Canis lupus familiaris: one gene and its partners. The protein of the gene in region 3 purifies or fractionates together with the protein of the main gene of each other region. This does not show direct contact. Links are inferred from orthologs where the notes say so. Each region holds a gene or a part of one and is shown on either strand. Other genes may lie near its edges. The genes, in order: ANKS3, ANKS6 and NEK7.

Region 1 (3,641 bases), on a different chromosome or scaffold from region 3:
AGGGCGCGATCCTGGAGACCCCGGATCGAATCCCACATCGGGCTCCCGGTGCATGGAGCCTGCTTCTCCCTCTGCCTGTGTCTCTGCCTCTCCCTCTCTCTATGTGACTATCATAAATAAATAAAATTAAAAAAAAAAAAAAAAAAAAAGAAACCACTGGACCAGGCAGCCCGGGTGGCTCAGTGGTTTAGCACCGCCTTCAGCCCAGGGCCTGATCCTGGAGACTGGGGATCGAGTCCTGCATCGGGCTCCCTGCAGGGATCCTGCTTCTCCCTTGGCCTGTGTCGGTGCCCCCCACCCCCCATGAATAAATAAAATCTTTAAAGGGGAAAAAAAAAAAACACGGGACCTAGAGGACATCTGATGACCTAGTCAAAGGAATGAGAAAAACCCTCCAGAATGCTGTATCCAAGTAAGAACTATCCTTCAGAAGTAAAGGAGAAACTAAGATGTCACACTGTCGCAGGCTAACAAAGCCAAGAGAGTTTGTGGCCACCGGACTCGCCCTCCAAGAAACTGAACGCTGTCCAAGCTGAAGTGAAGACACAGGCTCAGAGAGCCTCCGGGCTACCCATGCCGCCTGAGGGCACAGAGAGGGGGTGGCCGGGGCTCTGGGGGCCGCCAGCACTGTCCCACTGTGGAGCTTGGGGGCTGGCCGGGTTCACCCGGACGGGGCCACCCGTCCTCTGACCTGTCCCCGCTCCTGTACCCTCCAGGACCTCGCCACGCTGCTGGAGCAGATTGGGTGTCTGAAGTACCTGCAGCTGTTTGAGGAGCAGGACGTGGACCTCCGCATCTTCCTGACCCTCACTGAGAGCGACCTGAAGGAGATTGGCATCACGTGAGTGCAGAGGGGCCCTTCGTGGCCGCACCCCCGTCTCTGGCGTGAAGCTGAGCCCGCAGCTTCCCCTCATGTGGGTGGAACTAGCTGCCCTGTCTTGTCTGAGGTTCCACTTGCTTCCTATAGCAGCGTCCGCTCCAGCCCTCCAGCTGCCCCTGGCTTAGGTGCTGGAGGGCTGGGTCCTGTGGCTCCCTCAGGCTCCCCAAGCCTGGCCTGAGCCCCCTGTTCAGTGAGAACAGCAGCTGGGCAGGGGAGGCCAGCCCTAGCTGGGGTCACTTCTTAGAACCATTTGTCTTCTGCCCTAGGATCCTGGGGGCCACTCTCCCCCTTCCAAGCTGGGCCCTTTCTTAAGGGACCGTCTTGGTGTAAGGACAGTCCGTGGCATCTCTACGCACACAGCAGACGTATATACTTCTCTCTATCCTCCTCGCAGGTTATTTGGGCCTAAGAGGAAGATGACCTCTGCCATTGCCCGCTGGCACAGCAGTGCCCGTCCCCCCAGCGATGCCCTGGAGTTGGCCTATGCTGACCGGCTCGAAGCTGAGATGCAGGAGCTTGCCATCCAGCTGCACAAAGTATGAGGGGGCGTGCAAGAGAGGGGTGTGGAGACGCCTGCAGTAAAGGACAGCATAGGGGGTGAGCAGGGAGGACAGATCTGCAGGGTCAGCAGGGAGAAGCAGCCAGGACAGTTAAGGGCAGAGAGCATTATTGCTGTGCAGGAGGGGAGACACATGGGCGTCTGCCTGGGAAGAAGGCTCAGGAAGGGATGGGGACTCGGGGCAGGAGCTTACATGGACACAGAAGATCAAGGGGGAGGGCAGAGAACAAGCAGCAGGCTTGGATGCCACAGGGCTTGAGGGAAGGGGCCCAAAGCAGAGGCGGCTCTGTCTGGAGACACGCGTCCCCTTCCTCCGGCCCAGTAGAGTGGGAGTTGAGAGCCGGTGGGGATGGCAGAGCCGACTGGGGCTGGCAGGACCCAACCGAGGTGGCCCTGGCCTTGAATCCCCCTGGCTCACTCACCCGCCCCATCTCCTCTCAGCGCTGTGAGGAGGTGGAGGCCATGCGAGGCCAGGTGTCGCAGGAGCAGGAGCTGCGGGCGGTGGTGGAGAGCTGCCTCCTGGAGCAGGACGGTGCCCGTGAGGACGTGCGTGCCCAGCTGCAGGAGACGTGGGCCCTGGCCCAGGACGCTGCTCTCATCTTGGACCAGCTGCGGTGAGTGGGCACCTGAGCTGCCCTGGGCCCGACCCTGAGCCACCACTGCCTCCAGATGCTTCAGCCAAGGGTTGGTTTTAGGGCCTTCTGGGGCCACTCGCTGCCATCCTCCGTTTCATTCTGGCTTTTCCTTTCTGCAGGGCAGACCCAGGCAGCAGATAGGGCCCCGCGCATCTGCATGCTGGTCCCCAAAGGCGCCTGGTGTGCTTGCCCTGAAGGCAGGGCCCCCCTGACACTCAGGGAGATGGGGTATCTGTGTCCCGCTGGGGCCGTGGGAGGCACTATTGCCCAGCCTCTCCCCTCACCAGCGCTTGGCCTTGTGTCTGGCAGAGCCTGTCAAGCCGAACTGTCAGCCAGAGTGAAGCAGGAGGTGTCCACCCGAGGGCTCCCCCTGGCCGCTGCCCTCCCCACAGCTGGTAAGAACCGTGTTCTTGCCCCGGATCACGTAGGTGCTGTCCTAGGCCTCCGGTTCCAGCTCCAGCTCTTTCCTCCACACAATCGCAGGTCCCAGAGCGAGGGTGCCCTCTCTCACCCATGTCCTCCCCGTGGTGGGGGGCAAAAGCCCTTGGGCCCTGGCTGACGCTGCTGTCCACGATCTCAAGTGATTTCTGCAGCCTATAGTTGGGGCCGCCCCAGGACAAAGCCTCCCTGTAGGCCAGGCCCCCCCCCCCTTCCACTCCCGGGGCTACTGGCAGCCAGTGCTTTGGAAAAACAGCTGGGAGGACACACTTTGGTGTAGCAAGGTCATGCAGGAAGCAACAGCTAGGTGGGTCCCCTGGTCACGGCAGCTCAGGACAGAGGGGCAGGACCTATGGTGACCACATGCATTCCAGGCCCACCTGGCTTTATGTCCCACAGACTGGCAGGCCTCCCTGCAGGCTCTGAGCCTCCCTGAGCTGTCAGGAGCACTGGAGGATCGAGTCCAGGAAATGGGTGAGTGTCCAGGAGGGCAGCCAGAGGTCTCCCACCCACTGGGGGCCACAAGGGGGGAACAGGAGGAGCCCTGCTTGGTCAGCTCCGACCCTGGGGTGGCTCCTGCCGTGTAGCCCGCTTCCCCTCACTGCCAGGCATCCCTAGGACCTTCCCTTCTCACGCTGGCAAAGCAGGAACTAACTGCTCCCATCCTCAGGGCGAGTGCTATGCTCAGTGACCCAGAGCTTGGAGAAGCTGCAGGTGCTGAACGGGAAGGAGAACTGGCGGGAGCCTTAGCTGGGAGGGACGGTGAGTGTCCCCCAGGCCCCAGGCCGGGAGAGCAGGGCACCCTGGGCAGCGGTGAGCGCCCCCTTCAGGCTTCTCTTTCCCTTCTCAGACTCTGACGTTGGGTGACTGATCCACCCTGAAGCTGTGTGCCTGGAAGACAGGAGGGCAGAGTGTGGGCGCTGCCGCAGGCCGGGCCCCACTGGGCCGGAGGATCAGGCCCCAGGAGCAGCCGGCAGAAGCAGGACAGGGCTGGGGCCAGGGCAGCAAGGCCCACACGGAGGCAGGACGAGGGCCTCCAGCCCAGAATCTGGGGGTGAGGCCCAGAGTGGGCAGGGCCCTGGGGAGAGAGGATCCCCATACACCGCAGGTGCCCCACAGAAAGGACTGG
Region 2 (3,741 bases), on a different chromosome or scaffold from region 3:
ATCACCAAGCAGAGGATGGTCTGGATGAAGGCCAGGGAAATGACTACAGAACTCATGTATCCTGCACCGAAGTAGAGAATTTTTAAAAATCCCACTATTTAGTTATCAAGCTTAAAATAAAATCTAGTATAATTCCTTACAGCAGATTAAAAAGTGCTGTCACATTTTTATCTCATTTGATCTTAATAAACCCTAAAATAAACTAATAATGCCTTTTTCACAGATGAGGAAACTGAAGATTTGAGTGGAAAGCAGAGTGTCTCCTTTTGAAAGTGATGGAGTCAAAACTTGGAACCTAGACCCGAAAATCTGAAACCCCAGCTCTTCTGATATAAAAAGTGTTCAGACAGAAAGGAAAGAAGTGAACTGAACAGAAGTGCTGACATTTGGATGGACATTTCTGAACTCACAGGTAGCCCGGGAGGTCATTCAATTACGATGGAAACTTAAAAGAATTCAAGGAAGGCTGAGATAGTTTTGTGGATGCTAAGCTTCTAATAGGTAATTACTGAGGATAGGGAAGCGTGGGAATTTCTGAACAGCTGCTGTGATTACCAATTAATTTTGGCAATTAACACTTGTGTTTAAAGACCGGGCAAAAACGCCTACCACCCAAAGCACTGGGCACAGAGGCCACACTCACTATCAGGTAGAGAAATGGAGAGAGCAGGAGAACAAAAGAGGCCAAGGGTGAAGTTGGGGCCAAAGCAAACACCATGCAACCTGTCCCTTTAGCATTTGGCCAATTTGGAGAGTAGCTTCCCTGTGGCCGACACTAAGGGGAAACAGTCGGTTACAAGATTGGTGGCCGAGAGCACAGGCTGAGAGCACAGGCTCTGGGGTCACCCACCTCAGTGTGAATGTGACTCTGCCATAGTATGAGTTGTGTGGCCTTGGGCAAGTTAACTCTCTGAGCCTCAATTCCTCATCTGTAAAATGGGGATGACGACAGTACCTACACGTCCTGAGGTTTCTGCAGATTGAATGAGTTACCTCACTTAAAGCACTTAGCACCGTGCTGGACACAAAAAGTGCTCAATAAAGCTTATCATGTCCAGAAGAGGAAAAAACATGAATGTAACCATTCCTGCTACTAAAACATCCACCAGAGACCAAACTGAGGAGTGGGTGGGGCCTGAAAAGATGGCCAACAGGGGTGAGTGACTTTACTGTACACCGGAGTTCCTTCCCACCAGGGCTTCAAGTCCTGTTCGCCCTGCTTCCTGAATACATCTCGAACACCTCACTGCTCTCCCACGGCTGTCTCTGCTCGGGTCCAGGCTACCATCACTTCTCCCTAGACTGCTGCTAACCAGGCTCTCCGACTCTAGCCCATCCCTCCAATCCGTCCTCACACTGCAGTGAAAGTGATCTTTCTTTCCAAAACATAAATCTGATTGTGTCGCTCACTCTGCCTAGAACCATCTATTACTCCCCAATGCCCTTAGGATAGCACATCCTTCTCAGCCCAGCCACATGGCATCTGCCTTCCTCTCCAGGGGAGGCTCATCTCCCACTACTTCTAGCCCTCTCCTAGTACTGATCACGGTTCTAGCAGTCCTACCAATGCCTTACGTTCACTTTTGCTTCCAAACCTTTGCATGGGCCTCCTATCACCCCATTCCCACCTCCCACTTCTTCTGTCCTGGTTAATTCCTATAGAGTCTCAACCTGAATAAATGCATCCTCCTTACCAAAAACCTTCCTCCACTTCCCCAAACTGGGTCTGCCCTGTCCAGAGCTCCCCGCACTTTCCCCACTCATTGAGCCCTATCTCTTTGGCCTGCCCACGCGTGCGCGAGCTGCTGTCGGTGGGACTCCCCGGATCCAGCAGGGTCCCCCTCTCTTAGGCTAGGGAGAGGAGTAGGTAGGTTCTTAGGAAACCTAGGTTGCAAGAAGGCATGAATGAACACCCCTAAGATCATGTGTCTCTAAGATTCTATTCGACGAGGTCTTCAGATTGTTTCTCGAAAGGCCCACTGTTCGTAGGATTCTGATTTTAGGGCAGCCCGGGTGGCTCAGCTGCTTAGCACCGCCTTCAGCCCAGGGCCTGATCCTGGAGACCTGGGATCGAGTCCCACGTTGGGCTCCTGCATGGAGCCTGCTTCTCCCTCTGCCTGTCTCTCTCTCTCTATCTCTTTCTCTCTCTCTCTGTCTCATGAATAAATAAAATCTTTAAAAAAAAAAAAAGATTCTGGTTTTATCATTAAAAAGCGCTTCCACTTCTTCTAGGATCCCGAGCTGCTCCAAGTTCACCAGTCCAGCTCTCTCGAACGAGTCCCAGACTCTTTAGCTCCCGGGGCGTCTGCGGGAGGGGCTCCGGGCGGGGCGGCCACCTGAGCCCGCTCGCCCCGGGGTCGGCCCGACGCCAGCCCTGGGGGCCCGACCCGAGCTCACCTGGCTGCCTGCATGAGCGCGCTCCAGCCGTAGTGGTTGCGGCTGTTGACCGAGGCGCCGCGGCGCAGCAAGAAGCGCACAAGCGGCTCGTGGCCCCCGGCCGCGGCGAACTGCAGCGCCGTGTTGCCCGCCTCGTCCGAGCAGTCCACGGGCACCGGCGCCCCGGCCGCCGCCGCCGCCCCGGGCCCGGGCCCGGCCGCCTCGGCCCCCGCGGGCTCCGCGCCCGCCTCGGGCTCCGCGCTGCGCTCCGCCGGCTCCGCCGCCCCCGGCTCCAGCAGCCGCCGCGCCGTCTCCGTGTCGCCCTGGTCGCAGGCGCGCAGCAGCAGCTGGAAGGCCGGGGGCAGCCCGCCCTCGCCCATCGCGGCCCGCGGCCCGCGCCCGTCCGCCCGGCCCGCCGCGCCGGCTCCGCCCCCGGATACCGCGCGCCAGCGCCCCCTTCCGCCCGCCGCCCGCGCGCCTACTGCGTGCCGGGAGCGCGGGGAGGTGGGGGGAGCCGGGGCCGCGCGTCTACTGTGTGCCGGGAGCGCGGGGAGGTGGGGGGGGGAGCCGGGGCCGCGCGTCTACTGTGTGCCTGGAGCGCGGGGAGGTGGGGCGGGGGGAGCCGGGGCCGCGCGTCTACTGTGTGCCGGGAGCGCGGGGAGGTGGGGGGGGGGGGGGAGCCGGGGCCGCGCGTCTACTGTGTGCCTGGAGCGCGGGGAGGTGGGGCGGGGGGAGCCGGGGCCGCGCGTCTACTGTGTGCCGGGAGCGCGGGGAGGTGGGGGGAGCCGGGGCCGCGCGTCTACTGTGTGCCGGGAGCGCGGGGAGGTGGGGGGGGGGGGGGGGAGCCGGGGCCGCGCGTCTACTGTGTGCCTGGAGCGCGGGGAGGTGGGGGGGGAGCCGGGACCGCGCGTCTACTGTGTGCCGGGAGCGCGCCGGGTGGGGGGCGAGCCGGGGCCGCGCTCCTACTGTGTGCCGGGCGCGCGCGATGGGGCGGGGGGAGCCGGGGCCGCGCGCCTACTGTGTGCCGTGCGGGGGGGGGGGGGGCGCCGCGGTCCTACTGCGTGCTGGGCGCGCGGGGGTGGGGGGCTGGCCCGCGCCCCTACTGTGTGCCTACTGTGTGCCGGGCGCGCGCAGGGCCCGGGGCCGCGCTCTTGTGTGCCTACTGTGTGCGGGGCACGCGCGGGGGCCAGGGCCGCGCCCCTACTGTGTGCCGGGCGCGCGTGGGAGCCGCGCCCCTACTGTGTGCCGGGCGCGCGCCAGGGCCGGGGCCACGCGTCCTCGCCGCGCGTGGAGGGACCGCGAGTTCCGGCGGCGGGTGCGCCTCTGCGGGTGCGGCCCTGCCCGGCTGCTCCGGGGACTTCTGCC
Region 3 (3,741 bases):
CGGGGCCTCCGGGGGACGGAGCTGCGGGGGGCGGGGCCTCCGGGGGTGGAGCTGCGGGGGGCGGGGCCTCCGGGGGGGAGGCCGCGGGGAGCAGCGGCGCAGGCCAGCACGTCGCCCCGGGTCGCCGCGGCGCTCCCCAGCCCAGACCTCCCGCCAGTCTCCACTCGGGGGTGGGGGGGGGTGTGGAGGGGGAGGAACCTCCTCTCAACGTGCGGGTCACACTCCTCCACGCGGCAGCGTCTCACAGCGCCCACACCTCTCCCCCAACCCAGGCAAGCGCCTCGTCCCGCACCCGCCGAAGAGATGCTGCGGTTTTAGGGATGAAGCAAGCTGTGGACTGGATCCCCCGCGGGCAGCAGAGGATTCCTACCCCTGGGAGGGACACGATTGCTTAGGGTCTACGTTAACTGCTCCCGGTGCGCTGGCCTTGGCCAAGTACTAAAGCCCGCAATACTCGGCGTCCATTCAGCAAGCGCTGATGGTGCCTCTTGCTTGATCGATCACCCACCGCTCCCAGCGCTCTGTCCGCCTGTCCCTCTGCAGAGCCGTCCTCCGGCCACACCCGCAGCAGCTCGAGCTCCCGCACGCAGTCACCACCACGCACGCGTTCTGTCCTCTAGCCTGTAGGGCGACCTCACAGGACACACTACCGGTGCCTGCAGGGAGTGCGCGTACTTTCTCGACGCTGCAAACTCTTGGGAGGAACAGTCAGAAGCAGTCGTTCTGGTTAATAACAGGTACGCGACGCTCTAGAAACTACGGGCCCTCGATTCTTACAACAGCATCCTCACGATCAGTAGTCAGGGAAAAATCATTTCGTTTTGTAATGTTTTCAGGCTTTCCAGTCCCGTCTGCAGGGCTGCCCAAGGATGCGACATACCCTCCCGTAAAATAAGTCTATTTTCAGTACCTATGCGTAACCAGGAGTACAGCCACGAGAGACCACGATTTACCTGTCTGGCACATCATCTCCCAAGGCCTGCAGGACACCGCAAAGAGGCAACTCGAGTTCTCCAGCACCCACTGCAGCATCCTGTAGGTAGTGTTCCTTCCTGGCACTGTGCTACGGCAATGTGGGCTTCTCTTTTTTTTTTTTTTTCTTTTTATGGGGGTCCCCTTGGTCTCCCTGGCTTCGGCCTCAATTCTCAACTTATTTTTGCATTGCCACCATCACCACCAAGGCTCTCTATTGCCTTGCAATCTCACGCACGCACACACACACATCTGCTAAATCTAGCGGGGTCCCACGAAACCCCACTCCCCGCCGGGTCGGCCATCCTCCCTGCACTTCTCAGGCGACCTCAGCTACTCCGTCGGCTACTCCGTCCGCCGCGCCGCGCCCCCCGCCCACTCTACCGGGCGAACTTCACTCCTCCGAAGTCGGGCCGCCGCCGAAGCCTGACAGCCGGACCCAACCAATCAGCGACGGATAAATAACCGGCGCCGCCAATGAGCAGCAGCCGAGGGCCGGGAGGCGGGACTTCGCCCAAGTTCCTCGGGTCCTGCAACCAGAGACCTGTTGCCGCCGCCGCCGCCGCCGCCGCCGAGCTTCTTAGTTACGGCGGCGCCCACGGCAGCCCGAGGCCGCCAAGCCCGAGCGGGGCACCGAGCTCCTGCCGCCCGCGCCCGCCCCCGCGCCCGCCCCCGCCCGGCGCGCCCCGCCCCGCCCCGCCCCGCCCCGCCGGGGGATCCCGCAGGCCGCCCGCGCTCTCCCGTGCTCGCCCTCCGCGCCCGCCTCCCGCGGGCAGCCCCGCCCGGCCCCGGGCGCCCGAGCCCCCGGCAGCCACTCACCGGGAAGTTGGAAGTTTCCGGCGCTCCTGCCCGCCGGGGGCCCCGGGGCGGCTGGGCCGGGCGGCGCCGCGGAGAGGCCCGCTGGGCCCGGGGCTGTGGCTGCGAGGCCGGGAGCCGATCGCCACCTCCCGCCGCGCCGCCCCCGCGGACGCTGCCGGCGCGGCCCCCACCCTGCGCACGGCGAGGCGCGGCCCGAGGGCGAGCCTAGCGGCGGCCCATCCTCCGCACCTCCCGCCCCTCCTCCCGCGGCCGCCGCTGTCAGCGGTGTAAACATCCCGGCAGCCCCGAGGAGCGGGGCGGGGCGGCCGCCGGCTCCTCCTCCCGCGCCCGGGCCCCGCCGCCCGGCTCCCCCCGAGCCCGGGGCGGCCGCTGCCCGGGAGCCTGCGCCCTCTCCGCTGGCATGTGCGTGCCGCCGCGTGCAAGCAGCGAGCTCCCCCGGTGCACACCCCCCCCGCCCCCCGGATCCCGGCGTGTCGATTCCACCCTCTTTTACCAGGTGGTTCAAACTACCTCTGCGCTAACCACGCCTGGCATCGGGGACGCCGGCTGTTAGGGCTGTTAGGGCGTTCCGCAATACTGAGCCGCTCCTGGGGACTGGGAGGCACCGGAGACCCCCCGGGACCCCGGGGCTCCAGCGGAGCCGCGAGACTCTCCTCCGGGAGCACCTGGGCACGTGTTGCTGCAGATGACCCGGAGCAGGCGGTACGGAGCCGAGCAGGCCGGCGCCCTAATCTTCGTACCACCCCTACCCCCACCCCCCCATGAACTCGGTGACGTGGCAGCAAGTTCACTCACCTCCCCCGGGGTGAGCACAAGAGCAGTAATAATACTCCTCGACAGGACCCAGGTTAGAATTAAACGAGATAAGCAAGGTGCTTCAAGACAAGAACCTAGCCCCTAAGTACCCCTTAAGTAGCTGTTACTGCCCCCCCCCACCAGGTCTTGCACTAGCTCGGCTTACCCACCCAAGGGGTTGGAACCAAGAATGAACAGATTACAGCTCCGAGACTTCAAAAGTTAAAGCCACGGGGGTGTCAAGAGGACACTGGTACGCGTCTGCTCGCTCGCAGGTGCTGTGGGTCGCGAGCTCTTGCACGTTCCTCCCACGGAGGTGGAGCCTCATTCCCTCCCCACTTGTATCTGCGCTGATCTCTGGTGACTTTGAGCGGTGGAGTTTGGGAGAAACTATACTGTGAAAGATTCTAGGCGAGGCCTTCAGAGAACTGGCATTTGCACCTCGGGCTCTTGGAGCTGTGAGCCTCCCTGTAAGAAGTCCAGCTACCCTACTGGGAAGACCACATGGAGAGCCCCTGAGATCGCACGGCCCTCTAGACCTCCCACCAAGGTTTTAGGCACGTGGGTGAACCCATCCCAGACCCTGTAAATCAAACCAGCTCTTGCAGCCAACATCACGCAGAGCAGAAAAAAATTCCTCCAGCTGAGCCCCGCTAAAATTGCTGGCCCACAAGTCAATGAGGCACTAATGCCAGAATCTTTACAAGTTCGTATGACAGGGTGAACTTCATCAATTAGAGGCCTTAAGAGCAAAGACAGGTTTGCCAAATGATGAATTGAGCTTCACAGGCGCAGCGCAGAAATTTGCCTGAGGTTCCAGCCTACCTGTCTGCCCCGTAGAATTCACACTCAAGATTGCAATTCTTTTTTTTTTTTAAGATTGCAATTCTTACCTGAATCGCCAGCCTGCCTGCCCTATAAATTACAAACTTCCCAACCCCCCATAATCACTTGAGCATAAAATAAAATGAAATATCCTAAATTTACAAAAAAAAAAAAGTAAAGCTATGGAATTAAGATTTGGAAAGTTTATTTTTTGCCCAAAAAGAAAGGTTAAGTCAAGATCTCAAGAAGGGATGTTAATTCCATTGGCTCAATAAGGAATAATAAATGTTAAGTCACTGTTCTAAGGAAAGAAGATATAATAGTTACCAA

What was found.
Region 1: the proteins of NEK7 (region 3) and ANKS3 purify together in Homo sapiens (affinity purification with mass spectrometry; 3 studies listed by BioGRID and IntAct, with this or other methods). This does not show direct contact. The link is inferred for Canis lupus familiaris from reciprocal best matches to the Homo sapiens genes NEK7 and ANKS3.
Region 2: the proteins of NEK7 (region 3) and ANKS6 purify together in Homo sapiens (affinity purification with mass spectrometry; 3 studies listed by BioGRID and IntAct, with this or other methods). This does not show direct contact. The link is inferred for Canis lupus familiaris from reciprocal best matches to the Homo sapiens genes NEK7 and ANKS6.

The regions. Positions count from the first base shown.
Region 1 is NC_049227.1:36,999,844-37,003,484, forward strand, and holds part of ANKS3 (ankyrin repeat and SAM domain-containing protein 3), read left to right. Parts: intron 1-716; coding exon 717-841; intron 842-1,274; coding exon 1,275-1,416; intron 1,417-1,880; coding exon 1,881-2,053; intron 2,054-2,193; coding exon of another isoform or gene 2,194-2,215; exon of another isoform or gene 2,216-2,366; intron 2,367-2,383; coding exon 2,384-2,469; intron 2,470-2,911; coding exon 2,912-2,986; intron 2,987-3,182; coding exon 3,183-3,262; 3' UTR 3,263-3,274; intron 3,275-3,342; exon of another isoform or gene 3,343-3,362; coding exon of another isoform or gene 3,363-3,379; 3' UTR 3,380-3,641. UniProt on the Homo sapiens protein: May be involved in vasopressin signaling in the kidney.
Region 2 is NC_049232.1:56,228,251-56,231,991, forward strand, and holds the start of ANKS6 (ankyrin repeat and SAM domain-containing protein 6), read right to left. Parts: upstream 2,757-3,741; coding exon 2,398-2,756; intron 1-2,397.
Region 3 is NC_049228.1:4,479,202-4,482,942, forward strand, and holds the start of NEK7 (serine/threonine-protein kinase Nek7), read right to left. Parts: upstream 2,776-3,741; 5' UTR 2,757-2,775; intron 2,321-2,756; exon of another isoform or gene 2,302-2,320; intron 1,905-2,301; exon of another isoform or gene 1,792-1,904; intron 1,376-1,791; exon of another isoform or gene 1,357-1,375; intron 1,324-1,356; exon of another isoform or gene 837-1,323; intron 738-836; exon of another isoform or gene 112-737; intron 1-111. UniProt on the Homo sapiens protein: Protein kinase which plays an important role in mitotic cell cycle progression. Required for microtubule nucleation activity of the centrosome, robust mitotic spindle formation and cytokinesis.